Linked DNA regions of Rattus norvegicus. The protein of the gene in region 1 purifies or fractionates together with the protein of each later gene. This does not show direct contact. Links are inferred from orthologs where the notes say so. Each region holds a gene or a part of one and is shown on either strand. Other genes may lie near its edges. The genes, in order: Rab1b and Gdi1.

Region 1 (7,309 bases):
CTCCCTGCTCTTGACTAATTGATGTTTCCCTCAGGATAAGCGCCGGGACAGTGCCCCCTATGGGGAGTACGGCAGCTGGTACAAAGCCTGTAAAGTTGACAGGTGAGGGCTCATAGGTCTGGGGGAGAGGTAGAATGAGGACCAAGGAAATAGCATTGTGACCTAGGAGGACACTGTAGCCCTAGAGTGGTTTTTTCAGGATGGGAGAAACCAGTGGGTTTACCACAGGGTCAGACAAATAAGAGAGGCCAGATTCTGCATGGCCTGTTTGGTCCCTAGAGCCCCATGTGATCTTGTGCCTGATAAAGAGTTTGAGACTTCCCTGACATCTGTCCACAGTCCCACAGTCAACACCACTCTGCGAAGCTTGGGCGCCCTGTACCGGCGCCAGGGCAAGCTGGAAGCTGCACACACACTGGAAGACTGTGCCAGCCGCAGCCGCAAACAGGTAGGGCTTTTGTGGTGGAGGAGGGTAAATAGAGACTCTGAGGGAGGCTCCAAGTGTGCTTCAGTTGGGCCTGATGCTTCCTGCCCCCTTTCAGGGCCTGGATCCTGCCAGCCAGACCAAGGTGGTAGAACTGCTAAAAGATGGTAGTGGTGGACGAGGAGACCGCCGTGGCAGCAGAGATGTGGCCGGGGGTGCTGGGCCTCGGTCTGAGTCTGACCTGGAGGAATCAGGGCCTGCAGCTGAATGGAGTGGGGTGAGTATGGAGGTCAAGATAAGTTGTAAGAGTACAAAGAATGTAGGTCTTAGAGACAGTTCTTCCCCCACAGGATGGCAGTGGCTCTTTGAGGCGCAGTGGCTCCTTTGGGAAGCTCCGGGATGCCCTCAGACGCAGCAGTGAGATGCTGGTGAGGAAGCTGCAGGGAGGTGGCCCACAGGAGCCCCCTAATTCTAGGTGAGTTTCTGACCCTTGATTGTATCCTGTTGGCTCCCAAGTGACTTCCCATCCCTCTCAGGAAACACTGTCACCAAGTCTGCTTAATCATGCCCTTCATCCCAGACCCAACCTGGTGTCCCTTTATTGTCTCACCATGGCCCTCCTTTTCCTCAGGATGAAGAGGGCCAGCTCTCTTAACTTCCTTAACAAGAGTGTGGAAGAACCAGTCCAGGTAAGAACGGAGGGCATCTGGTTCTAGGCAGCCGAGACTCAGCTTCTGGGCCCTGGTTTTTCTGTGTATAGCCCCATCCAACTTCCCCTGGTGAGTCTTTATCCAGCAACTGCTCTGGTTTCAGGCCTGCTTTGGGCTGGGAGGAGATTGGTAGAAACAAGTGGAGGAAGAGGTCAGGCAAAGGGAAACATCCCTTGTCTTGGGGCAGAGACCCAGTCAGCCAGGCCCACGTGAAGCTCTCAGGCAGGTACTGGGTGTGAGCTAAACTTTAACTTGGGCCAGTCTCTGACTGCCTGGATTTGCACAGGGGACCTAGTTTGGCCCTTTCGACAACCCTTCCTCTTCTGGAGTCCTGCTCCCCTCCCCCTCCCTTCACTCCCAACAGTTTAGGACTAAGCTACACATCCTCTGCCCACAGCCTGGAGGCACGGGTCTTTCTGACAGCCGCACTTTGAGCTCCAGCTCCATGGACCTCTCCCGAAGAAGCTCCCTCGTGGGCTAAAGCTGAAGGGGCAGCCAGTCACCAGAACCTCCATCTGACATGATCCCTCCCCCTAGCCCTGCGCATGGGCCTGCTGCTTGTCCTGCCTGCCCCTCCCAAGGACCCCTGTCTTTTCTGTTCAATCTCAGGGTAACTTCCTCCCTTGTCATCTCAGCCAAGGCCCTGGAGGATGGGCCTGCCGGCTCCAGCTCTGCTCCTTATTTATTCCTTCCAGCAGGGGGCCTCTCTTCCCTATGTACTGGGCCTGTGGGAGTGGTGGCCTACCTACCCAGTCCCCAAAGCCAAGAACACTAAGTACTTGCTGTCCCCTCAGCACCTTTCCCCTCCACTCCCGGCCGTTGCTTCTGTATATAGAGAAATAAGTTATTGGCCGTGTCATTCAACCCTCCTCCCCTCAGTCCACGGTATTCCCGGGCCACCACCTGCCTCTCTCTTATCCAGTGGTACCGCCCAGGCCTTAAATCACCCTGTTCCCAGTGGTGGTATCTTCCAAGCTCCAAGTTCTGGGACCAGAGCCTCCCAAAAGGGGTTCCTAGACCTCTTCGCCTGGTCTTGGAGGGATTTCCACTCCACCTTGCAAATGCCCGGATCCCCCACACCACGGGGCCCTGTGCTGCCTCCTGGACTTAATGCACTGTTCTTTCAACCTAGCCCCGCCCAGGCATGGCCTGACCCCACCCTGGGCACAGCCCGTTGAGCCATCCTGCCACGCCTCCCTAGCCTCAGCTTCTGATGTCCCCCTTCCCCCCACACACAGGAGGGACTACCCCATTTGTTGGGTAAGGCAGTCGCTCTCTATTTTCAGATGTTGCTGTAGAAATAAAGACGATTTGAACCTGAACCGGGCTTGTTTTGAGGAATTCAGAGCCCCTGAGCATCCCTAGAGTCGGGTGGAATCAGGAGAGACTTCGGGAGTGAGGGATACACACATATCTTCCCTGCCCTCGAGGCTGGAACTAATACTCTGCTATTATCCTGAACTGTTTGGGGAGATGCTACAGATTTGGGGTTGCGTCTAACATGCCCTAATGGGGTTCTAGACAATTCCGTCTGTGATGTCTTCTTGAACTGAGTTTCCTGAGGATTTTTCATATATGTAATACTAGTGATCACATAATCCTAGTGCTAGGGCTGCGGAGTGCCCATCCCATGAAAAACGCTGAATAAGTCAAAATCTTCTGGCCCTAAATACCTCCCACCTTCTAGTTTCAATCTGCGAATCTAGAGGGTAAAGGTGGCAGCCCATCTTAGAGGCGAACCGTACCTACCCCGGTGTTAAATAAGAGCCTGCACCTGCGGATTGGGTAGCACAACGAAGATTTTTGTAGCTAAGTTGGTTCAGGGATTGGGAAGACTACAGACCCCAGAAGGCCGTTCGCCGGAGGCTACTGGGGTGCACCGCTGCTCGGGTTCCCTGGGTTGCGCCTGCGCAGCAGTGGCAAGTCGAATATCCATGGAAACTACAGGTTCCGCAAGGCAGCGCGGCGCAACCCGAGTCGGAAGTATTTGCGGCTGCGCAGCGCGGGCGGGGCCTCTAGGGCGGAGCGGCCACCATCTTGGAACGGGAGGCGGAGCAGAGCCGACTGGGAGCGACCGAGCGGGCCACCGCTGCCGCCATGAACCCCGAATAGTGAGTGAGCCCCGCCCGCGCCGTGCGGCGCAGCCTCGATCCTGTCTATGGGGCTATATGCTTGCCGAAGTTGTCTGGCCTTGGTCAGAACTGCGCGGCGCCCCCACATCCGGGTCCCTCTTCCGCTGACCCCCCCCTTACATCCGGGTCCTGCCCTCCCCCCGGGATCCCCAGGACCCTGGCTCAACACCCCGAGTTCTGCAGCCCGGGTCCCTGAGGCTGCAACCTGGATGGGCAGCACTCGGAGCCCGCTGCGCCAGCCCTCACAGGCCTTTTCGGTTAGGTGACCCTGCAGATTTGGTCTTCCTGAGCTTCAATTTTTTTCCCACCCACAGCTTGACCAAGGGCAGGCTGTTTGGAGCCCATCACAATAGTTTCTGATCTCCAGAGTCGAATACTTTCAACTGGGCTGTGAACCTTTCTTTGCCTTTCTTCTGGAGCCTCTGTCCCGGGGCCGGCCCAGAATCTGACCAGACAAGAGGGGACCCCCGAGTCCCTGCTTGATTCACATTCCCTACAGATCCTTTCCTCTGAGGCTACCATTTGCCCTGCCTGGGTCGCGCTGTCATGTTGCTCCCGGCAGTCCGTCCTTTTCTGTCCTCTCACCTTTGCTCAGGCCTCCAGTGCCACTGTCACATAGCTTCCCTCTGCTGTCACACTGCCAAAGCACATTAGGTGAATGTGAATTTGCTTGCTCCCTTAGAGCGGAATTTTTATTCCTCAAACTCAAACCCTACATACAGTTTTGCACCCACGTTATCTTCTTCCCCTTCTCCACTTCCTTTTTCTTCCCCAACTCTAGGCCTCAGATTTCCTTGAGGAAGGGTTGAACTCACTAGTGGGCTTAGGAGGGGAACAGAGAAGGGAGGCTACCAGCTGTCAAAGAGCTTGGAGTCTGACAGGCCTGGTTTCCAGTCTCACAGTTATCAACTGCTTAGGACAAGTCACTTCCCTTCTGTGACCTCTGGTTTCCTCCGTAGTTGGAAGTAGTAACACACTTCTTTGCACTGTTGTGAGCATGTATTTCAAGTACATCCAGTTACAATTTAGTATTTACCACTGCTTCCATGGCCACTTGTTGACCGCCTCTTGTGTGACTTCATCTCAGGCTCTTTCACATTTTTGTTTTGTTTTGGATTTTTCAGACAGGGTTTCTTTGCAGCCTTGGCTGTACTGGAACTCACTCTGTAGACCAGGCTGGCCTCTGACTCAAAAATCTGCCCCCGCCTCTTCTGAGTGCTGGGATCAAAGATGTGCACCACCTTCCCCCACCACACATACACCCCACCTCCCATCCCACCTTCATGTTTATTTTTACTTCATGGGTCAGGCTTTCGTTTTTGGGTCCTAAGCTGGCATAGTGTAAGGCCCAGCGTGAGTTTCTTAAATAGTGTCTGCCAAATAGCACCGCGTATTTCTTAGCAGATTGTGTTCTTTTTGACACAGGCTGAAGGTTTTTGTGTGCTAGCTTATTGGGGATACTAAGGGTCAATCAGGACAGTAGAAGGATCTAGTGAGCACCAGAGTAGACCAAGCAGAAGTATGCCTTGTAGTGCTGTCATGCTTACTACAGGAAGGAGGGGGAACTTCCTGCTCGCCTTCATACCTTCCCGTCTTCTCTTGCCAGTGACTACCTGTTTAAGCTGCTTTTGATTGGTGACTCGGGCGTGGGCAAGTCATGCCTGCTTCTGCGGTTTGCTGTGAGTAAGAAGCACCCCTGTATTATCTACTTGGGGTCCTGGCTGACCACCGGGAAGAGGAGGGGGCAGCTCAGAACACAGTAGTTGCAAGTCCGAGAACTAAGAGTGTGGTGGCTGGAGCTGCCACAGCAAGGGCCCAGGCCCTGGGAGTCGGGTGATTAGAACTGAGGCTTGGCAGTGAGAAGCACCACAGGGGCAGGAAGCCAGTCTCTCCAGTGTTTCACTAGCCACAACCTTTTCAGGATGACACGTACACAGAGAGCTACATCAGCACCATTGGGGTGGACTTCAAGATTCGAACCATTGAACTGGATGGCAAAACCATCAAACTACAGATTGTGAGTATGGCTTTTCTCCAGCCCTCGGGCAGAAGTCTTTTCCTTGGGGTGGGAGTTCTCCTGTGGCTGACCTACCTACCCTTTTCCTCCTGACTCATAGTGGGACACAGCTGGTCAGGAACGGTTCAGGACCATCACTTCCAGCTACTATCGGGGTGCTCATGGCATCATTGTGGTGTATGACGTCACTGACCAGGTACTCCTTGCAGCCTTACCTCCTGAGCCTTGAGTTTTGATTTTTGCTTCTTTTCCTTAAACTTTCTGGAAGGGAGACACTATCTGAATTGCTTCATAAAAAGGGCAATAGGACCACAGAACTGGATTCTACCTAGACCCTGTCATGGAGTCTTGATAGAACTAGGCCACAGGGCACCTGCTGCCTTAGTCTAGACTTTCCAGACTACCCGTGTTTCTATCCACTGGTTGGTTACTATTGCTCCCTGTCTGCAGATTCAGGAAGCATTGGAAGGCTTCAGACAGCACAAGAGGGAGCCCAGTATAAGAAGAAATTCTGAAATCCTGTATCTGCTGTGGTGGCTTCAGTCATGTGTCACTGGCAGCAGCCAAAAATTGTCCTGACAGTGTCTTACATCTTATAAACACTGTAGCCTTTAGATTTCCTTCGTTAGTTACCTCATAAAATGTGAGTTTTGCTCTGTTACCAGCCTATCCCAAATTCCTCCACTGAAATGATCCTTTTCTGTCTTAGCCTCCCTAGTAGCTGAGGTAGTGGGGAGCCACCAATGTGCCTGGCTTCTAATTGGTGATGATGGTGGTGGTGGTTTTGGTTATTCTGAGACAGGGTTTCTCTCTGTATCCCTGGATGTCCTGGAACTTAATCCGAATAGACCAAGCTGGCCTCAAACTCCTAGGGATCCCCCTGCCTCTGCCTCCCAAGAGCAGGAATTAAAGGGGTGAGCCTCCACTGCCCAGCCCTGTGAGTGTCTTGTGATGCTCATAAGAAGTACCTCATTCTCTCATCTTAAAGATGAAGATCTGGGGGTTGGGGATTTAGCTCAGTGGTAGAGCGCTTGCTTAGGAAGCGCAAGGCCCTGGGTTCGGTCCCCAGCTCCAAAAAAAAGAACCAAAAAAAAAAAAAAAAAAAAAAGATGAAGATCTGGTTCAGGCTGCTGCAGTAGCTTGCTAAGGGCCTTCCATCTAAGAGCCTAGTCCTGATCCATCTGCTTTGCTTTTTCTATCAAACCTTGTTGCTTCCAGTCCCCAGGGATATAGAAATACAATTAGTCCCAGGCTGGAAGAGCCCAGAGACTTTGATACCCCTGCCTCCACTTCTTTTTTTTTTTTTTTTTTTTTTTTGTTCTTTTTTTCGGAGCTGGGGACCGAACCCAGGGCCTTGTGCTTCCTAGGTAAGCGCTCTACCACTGAGCTAAATCCCCAGCCCCCCTGCCTCCACTTCTATGCCTCCACTTCCTAGCTCTTCTTAGCTGGATGAGCTGAGTGTCATTCAAAGGTCACCAAAGGCTTTAGTTAACTACCAAAAACCCAATCACCTTCTTGCCCAAATTGACTTCTTGCACTTGTTTTCTTCTCTTTCCTTTTCTTTTTTTCTTTTTCCCTTTTCTTTTTTTCGGAGCTGGGAACTGAACCCAGGGCCTTGCGCTTGCTAGGCAAGCGCTCTACCACTGAGCTAAATCCCCAACCCCTTCTTTTCTTTCCTTGAAGATAATGTGTGAAGCTCCCCGTCCCACCAACCTAGCACACACTCGTCCACTGGCATACCTTTACTGCCCATTAACCCATATTTTGGGCGTCCTCTTCTGTAGTTTGGGTTTGCCTTGTGTTCTGGAGTCCTTATGCCCAGACAGATGCCCCATTGGTTCCCATGTCTGTCTGCTTGAGCTGGCCCTTGGCGTCTGTAATGGCAGTAATCTCTTCTTACCCAGTGAGTGAACTGTGAAGCCCTGTGCTCTGCTGTGCTTTCTGTTGCCACAGTGAGCACCAGGTGTTAACAAAAGGCTCTGTCTGGTCCCCAAAGGAAGCCAGGGCATGAATTCAAATGAGCCAC
Region 2 (7,325 bases), on another chromosome or scaffold:
GGCCCAAAACTCAGCACCCAAGGCTGAAGGATAGTTGGGGGTTGAGGGATAGGCATACTATCTCAGTTGGTAGAGTGCTTGCCTATCATGCATAAAGCCCCGGGTTAGATTCCCAGCAATGCATAAACCAGGTATCTTGACACACACCTGTAATTCGGCATCAAGAAGGTGGAAGCACAAGGATTGAAAGTTCATCTTCAGTTATATACACTATTTGAGGCCAGCCTGGGATACAGGACACCCTTTCCAAAAGAATACATTCAGGAATACAAAGTATGTGACTTCTGAAGGATACCTCTTGATTAATTTAGATCCATCTGCCTTGGCCTCCCAAGTACTAGGAATACAGTTGTGTGCCACTACACCTTGTAGTTTGAAGGATATTTCTTGCCAACAGGAATAACTATGTAGAGTTTTATTGACCACCCAGGCTTTAGCTATAAGGTTCTCAGGGTTAAGAAGTAATAAGGTTCCCTAAGAACATAGCTCTGAAAAAGACCAAATCTTACCCAAACCATGGTAATACAAATGCACAGGGCAGGCTTACCTCTCCCTCAGATTTTACACCCACCACCTTGCCATTTTCCATGATGATGTCATCCACTGGTTTGTTCAGCATGTATGTTCCCCCATAGATGGCACTCAATCTGTAGTAAGAAAAATGATGGGGAAGTCTTCTCAGAAATGTGGGGACCAATTCTACTGTACCCTCCTCACCCCACCAGTGGGGTAGAGAACACAGGTATACAGAGTTTAACTCCAACTGTTTCAGGTGTCCCTCCCATAAACTTAGGGCCCATACTGACATATTCCTTCCTCTCTGGTGTTTCTGTACATATTGTTCTGCAAAGGGTCAACAGAAGGTAGCATGAAGAAGTAGCTCCACATAGAAACAGCCCAGGAGGGGTTGGGGATTAGGCTCAGTGGTAGAGCGCTTGCCTAGGAAGCGCAAGGCCCTGGGTTCGGTCCCCAGCCCCGAAAAAAAAAACAAAAACAAAAAAACAAAACAAAACAAAACAAAAACAAACCAAGAAACAGCCTAGGAGTCAAGAATAAAGAACTCTCTGTAAGAGATTCAAACTCCAGGGAAGCCCAGACACAAGGTTCCGGGGTCCTAGACTTAGTCCTGGTACTACCAAGAGCTGGGGGAAGCTATGTTCATGGTGACCTACTTCTTTACTTTGTATTTCCACCTACTTTTAAAATTATATATATATATACACACACACACATACACACATGTGTGTGTTTTGTTTACGTGTATATCTGTACACCACATGCATGCCTGGTGCTTATGAAGGCCAGATGAAGGTTATGAATTCCCTAAAACTGGAATTATAGATGGTTGTGAACTACCATGTATATTGGTATTGGAATTGAACCCGGGTCCTTGGTGTAAACAAGTGCTCTTATCTGCTGAGCCATCTCTCCAACCTCTACTCTGCACTTTAATGCACTAGGGCTATGCCCCCATTACCCAGGGATACAGTAATATACATGAAAATTAGATGGGAAAGTAGGAGATGCCACAAAAATATTCAAGGTAATTTCCATTCTTGGCCTTGTCTTACCAGTAATGCTAGCTGAAAAAGACAGATCCTCACCTGGCAAAGCCCTGAGGCAGCTCACCCAGGCCATAGAGTGGGTACAAATATGGGCTCTTGCCATACCGGGCCAGGGACTCACTGTACAACTTGATGCGGTTAATAGTCTCAAGACATGGCTGATCCAGGTAACTACGGAAAAAGAACCAGGGAATATGCTTTGATAGCAGCACCCTTGTTCATTTACAAAGACACCAGCCAGCCTTCCCACCACCCTTTGTGACCTGGCAAAGATGTGGGTCAAATGGAGAGGGATGGAAATGGAACAGGTGAGCCTGGAGCTGAGTACAAGTGACATGCAGGATGGGCAGTAGGTACAATAGGCAGGTGTGGAGAGGGTGTGAGCCAGACAAGGGGCTCCCATCACCAGCCAGCTTTCCCCTCACTCATCAGTGCGGTAGAGCGCCAGGGCATGGCCAGTGAAATCAATGACATCTTGGCCCAGGTCAAACTTCCGGTAGACATCACGCATGCTGGTGGTCTGCGGGTCAACACCCTCAAAGGTTTTGGGGTCATTCTCATCAAAGTTTGCCACAAACACCAAAAATTTTCGGAAGCGTCGTTTTTCAAACATGCCCATCAGATCTGAAAGAAAGGTATTGAAAAGATCATTTGCATTACTCGGACATAGAGCTCCTCTTTCTAACAGAGCAGGCCAGGAAAATTGGTGCCTTGGCTCCCACCAGAACTCTCTTATGCAACACTGCTCCACCTTTCTTGGTCTCAATTTTCCTATTTGTAGGAAGAGACCCTCCCAGCTCCACTTAGGGCAAGTAGGCCCTTTGACAAAAAAGAATCCTCTTCTGTGAACTTCCTTTCTGGCAACTTGCCAAGATTGGTAGCACTGTCCAATAAAGAAACTATAAAGCAAGGGGCCTCTAGGACTACACGGAGCTAAGATTAGGTTTATGCAAAGAGGAGCCTTTTGCCCAACTGTCCTGAAAACAGTTTGTCCCCTCCAGCCCCATTCTTCTGCTTAAGGAGACTCATACTCACTAGAAGCCAAGGCCTCAGTCTCAGTAGATGGCACTTTGTAGATCTTGCCCCCTTTGTATACAAAGCTGCCCTCTACCACCTTGAAGTCCAGATAACGAGTCACTTCTGTATACAGTAGCATCTTTACCAGCTGACCTGTGTCCAAAGGGAGTAAGGGTGTGTTTTCCTTCAAAAAACTCTCAGTAGTGTGACTGATCATATTCTGGAGATTGAACACCCCATACCCCATCTTCCTACTCACCACCCCCATCGCCCTTTTTAATCTCCCTCACCATTGGCCATGAGGAATTTGGGGATCAAGTCAACATTCCAGTCTCGGCCCCGGCCCATTGATTCAGGGGGCCCTTCCAGCAACTGAAAGCGCTTATATAGCTGTAAGCAGGACAGGAAAGAAAGACAAATGTCAAGGACTAGCTTCCCTTCCCCACTCTCCTGCCTGGGACCTGAGAACTACTTCCCCCCTTTACACCTATGTGGGGGACTAACAAGGGGTCTGGGTCTAAGCCCAAGTCTGAGAATAAGAAATCTTACCTCCTCAAGGGGTGTGATAGAAGAGCTCTCACCCCCATAGTAGGGGTTTCGGTCCATGTGCAACACCTTCTTTCCATTCACAGACATGATGCCAGACAGGATGCATTCCTGGGGAAAGAGTGGCATTGGCAGCTATACCTCATCTACCCTCCAATGAGCATCTCTGATTTGTCCCTGCCTCATGCCCACTACAAAATTCATAATGCAAAGTCCTACCTCTTTCCAGTGCCTAAAACTGGGGAGGGGAAGATAGCTTCATATGATGTTTCCTTTATAACCCTGCTGAGTAAACTACTAGAGCATTAAAGGAGGCTTGGGGGACAGAGCTTACAGTTCTTCTAGCATCAACAAGCCAAAAGTATCTACCTGCTCTGAGCTCACAAAAAGACAAGACAATGAGTCTACAGAAGAAACAATTCAAAGGCTCTTTGAAAGATAAGGCCAAGTCCTTGAAATCCCAGGCTCCACCCTGCTCCTCCTTTTAAGGGCAGGAGCCCCTGACTCTCTTCTGGCTGTGCATCCACTGCTCTAGGCTCAGGGTTCAAACGAAAAAAGATTTGTGCGGGGGGGGGGGGGGGCGACGGGGACACCGGACACTCTCACCAGTCACTGTCACTAACCCAAGGACAAAGGCTGAGGATATATATTCACTCTGAGGTCTCCATGGGAAACCGAATTGGGGTAGAGGGAAAGCGGTCACTAACACCCCCTCCCTACACACCACACACACACACACACACACACACACACACACACACACACTCCCTCCCTCCCTCCCTCCCGCTGTTTCTGGAACATTCCATGGGTTCCCTATCCCTCCCAAAAGGCAGAGAGGCAGGATGAGGGCCCACCCTTGAAAAGCCCCCATATCTTTATCTTCATACTCCATGCCCTAGTGTGATCACAAGATGGTAAAAGATGCTAATCAATTACTTGAGCAGGTGATGAGTGCAGGCGAAGGGTGGGGTTGGATGCAACGGGTCCAGTGTGTGTGAGGGGGGTGAGTTTTCCACCTCAGTGACACAGATAGGGAAGGTGAGGGGTCCGTGGTTAAGATCTAGGGTGCTGGAATACTGGCCAAAGTGGGGCCCTCTACGAAGAATTGCGAACTGGCATCAACACTCTAGGATGAGGTAGTGGGGTGGGCATGGGCTTTTCCAGGGCTGGAGGCAGGAACGCAATGATGGGAGGATGGGTCGGGTAACCCGGACTCTGCATCACTGCGGGGTGGGGGATGGCATGATGCAGGGCTACGAGCGCCTGAGGTGGCACTTACGGTAAGACCTGTCCCCAGCACAATCACATCGTATTCCTCATCCATGGTCAGGCCTTGGTACCAGCGCCCGCTCTTCTTCTCCTCCTCCTCCTTCACCACAGCAGCTGCTACCAATGCCTCTACTGTTGCTGTTGCTGCTGCTGCTGCTGCTGCTGCCGCTGCCGCTGCCGCCGCACTGACCCAAAGATGGCGTCTATCGGTCGTCTCCCGATCCCTACGCAGCGTCAATGAGTCCCTCTCCCTCCTCTGGCCAAGCCACGCCCAACCAAAGCCACCATTTCCTCGCTTGTTTTCTAGGAGGGGTTCTGGCACCTGGGTCCCAGCACCAGAATGATTGCAGGGGTTAACGCGGCTCTCCGTGAGCCCAGAGAAATACGGGGCGGGGCAGGCCGGCGGCAGGTGCTACGTCTAGCGAAGGATCCTTGCGCGGGAGCTGCGCGCGCCCCGCCCCGCCCCGCGCGCTCCCGTACCGCCCCTGGGAGAAACAGAAAGGCATGGAAGCCCTGCAGTGTGTTGTTGCAGCTGGCCCTAGCGCTGGGAGAGCTGCCATTGTCAGGATTCCTCCCATGGCGAGGAAAAGTAACAAGCCTCTTCTCCGGCTTGTTAAGAGTATCGGCTTACTGAAGACCCTCCCACCCTTCCTCTCTCATTTCTTGCCTGACAGGACTACATCTGAGCAGTTCTTCCCTTCAGTCAAGAACAAATCTACTTGTCCAGTGTAGAAATAAGTGGCTGGAGCCCAACACATGGCAACACGTCTTTATTTTATTAGGAATGAAACAACAGAGCACACCCCCCCCACACACACACACACATACTTCTGGCTTCTTGACAGGCAATCCTTGTGAGAACAAACCAGAAACCCAATGAGTACACTTTGTTCTCCAGTTCTCGTGGTGATTTCTTCCTTCTCAGGTCACAGAAATAAACCCCAGTGTACCGCTCATTCTTAACCCCCACCCGCCAAAAAAAAAAAAAAACCCATAAAGGCTAAGCTGGACAGTTAACTAGCCTTTCCACACCTCTCAAATTCAAGGGACCTCAAGTTCATGGCTATTGCTGGAAAGCTCCATAAAGCTTGGGGAGTGAGTATTTACTACACAAAAGCACTATAAACAGCACGAAATAATAGCAGAGGGGCAAGAATAAATAAGGAGAAAGGGAAAGGGGGGCACCCTAGAATTAAGGTCCCTTCCCCTCTTGATGAAGCCTGGAAGATTTATCTATGAAGAATAATACACTTTGTTGGTAGAAGTGGGGGATAGCCTCAGGGAAGTCCCTGTCCAGGAAAGAGGAAGCAAGACAGGCTGAGGGTGGTGTATGTAGGGTTCATGCTATAGTAGGAAGAGGACAAACCTTTCCATCCACTGTGTCACAAAATGGAAACCTAGACACCAATACTCCCTCAATCCCTCTCTGGTATATGTCACACAATCTGGGTCAAAGTGATGGTGGGGCCCTTGTGGTCATCAAAGCGATCCATGGTCTTTAGGCTGAGTATCATGTGCAGACCATAGGTGAATATGAAAAGCATGAAGAGGGTGGTGAGCAGCCCCATCCAGATGCCCGGAGAGAAGAAGCCAGCACAGTCGCTAGCATAGGAGAACTGTTCACCAGTCACATTGAAGGCTTGGATCTAGGAGATACATAGACATGGATCAGATGGGACCACAAGGTTCTACAAACAGTTCAGTGCTGGGATTCTGGAATTAATGAATAGTTATACCTTCAGAGACTATACAAGGATGGAACTCTCTCGGCTACATGCTCAAACCATGCAGAGATTCTCTGGGCCCTTTTTCCCGCCCCTTATTGCCACCAGCTTGGGGGCCCATCACCCTTTCAATACCTGGAAGTTATGAAGAGTCATCTGCCAGAGGGAGGGCACGTTGGTCACAAGGAGACTGCCTTTCTTGCTCAGACTGCTGACGTACTCACAGTGGAAAGAATAGATACTAGGTCCTGTGACTTGGGAAACATTGAAATGGGCAACCGAGCCATTGCTGTGGATTTCAAGTCGTTCCATGGTAAACCAATATCGGGCAGATACTGGGTAGAAGCGACTAGCCAGAATGAACCTGGGAGGTGGGGGTTGCAGAGATGTCAGATGAACAAAATAGAGTGAAGACATACCAGCCCAGCCAAACTTCAGCCAACAGAACTTACTTGAATGTCACTGTTGCACCAAAGAGTGGTTCATAGGTCAGTGAAAGCCTATGGGACAAGGCACAGGAGTACTGTCAGGCTCTAGAAGAACCTTAAGAAGATCCTGATCAGGTTGGCTCCAACCTAAGCAACCCTAGATCCATCCTTATAGCCAGCCAGCTGTCAATACAGTGTCCCCATTTACCATATGGGAAAACTAAGGCTCCAGTCATAACCAAATTAGGAGCAGCTGGAGCACAATTAGGTCTTACATCTCCAGCTTAGGATTCCTTACTCTGGTTTTCCTGAGTCCTGTAGGCCTCCTTCTTGGGATCATTTAGCTGCCAGCTGAGATTTCAAGGGTAGAAGACCTAGAACTGGTTTTAACAGTTGGTCTGGTATTTGCCTACATGCAGTCCAAGGGGTTGGGTTCAAAGAAGGGCCAGGGTCCCAAAGGATTGTGTGGTGTTCAGGACCCAACAACCAAGACATAAAAGCATGAGAAAGCCAAACTCCTAAGAGGATCCCTCTCCAGTAACATCCCAGCAACATCACCTGGGATACTGTGATATCCATCTCCTTGGTGAACACACCACACAAAGACCTTTCTCACCCCAAACATATATACCTATATACCTACACACACACACACACACACACACACATCCATCCCACATCCTTGTCCTGTACTGGGCTCACAGTAGCAGGAAAACCATATATGACAGGATAACCTTTTTTTCCCTTACATGGCAAAGGAGTCATTCCAGAAGGAG

Evidence for each region.
Region 2: the proteins of Rab1b (region 1) and Gdi1 purify together in Homo sapiens (affinity purification with mass spectrometry; 3 studies listed by BioGRID and IntAct, counting the BioPlex papers as one, with this or other methods). This does not show direct contact. The link is inferred for Rattus norvegicus from reciprocal best matches to the Homo sapiens genes RAB1B and GDI1.

What each region holds. Positions count from the first base shown.
Region 1 is NC_086019.1:211,839,074-211,846,382, reverse strand, and holds the start of Rab1b (ras-related protein Rab-1B), read left to right. Parts: upstream 1-3,160; 5' UTR 3,161-3,231; coding exon 3,232-3,245; intron 3,246-4,872; coding exon 4,873-4,945; intron 4,946-5,187; coding exon 5,188-5,283; intron 5,284-5,383; coding exon 5,384-5,479; intron 5,480-5,733; coding exon of another isoform or gene 5,734-5,862; exon of another isoform or gene 5,863-7,309. Other genes in the region: Klc2 (kinesin light chain 2), read left to right, coding at 35-102, 340-448, 543-701, 775-899, 1,056-1,113, 1,532-1,615. UniProt on the Homo sapiens protein: The small GTPases Rab are key regulators of intracellular membrane trafficking, from the formation of transport vesicles to their fusion with membranes.
Region 2 is NC_086039.1:157,236,151-157,243,475, reverse strand, and holds the start of Gdi1 (rab GDP dissociation inhibitor alpha), read right to left. Parts: upstream 4,577-7,325; 5' UTR 4,453-4,576; coding exon 4,408-4,452; intron 3,240-4,407; coding exon 3,132-3,239; intron 2,973-3,131; coding exon 2,873-2,972; intron 2,736-2,872; coding exon 2,601-2,735; intron 2,190-2,600; coding exon 1,991-2,189; intron 1,737-1,990; coding exon 1,605-1,736; intron 648-1,604; coding exon 548-647; intron 1-547. Other genes in the region: Atp6ap1 (V-type proton ATPase subunit S1 precursor), read right to left, coding at 5,834-6,043, 6,257-6,485, 6,574-6,621, 7,299-7,325. UniProt on the Homo sapiens protein: Regulates the GDP/GTP exchange reaction of most Rab proteins by inhibiting the dissociation of GDP from them, and the subsequent binding of GTP to them. Promotes the dissociation of GDP-bound Rab proteins from the membrane and inhibits their activation.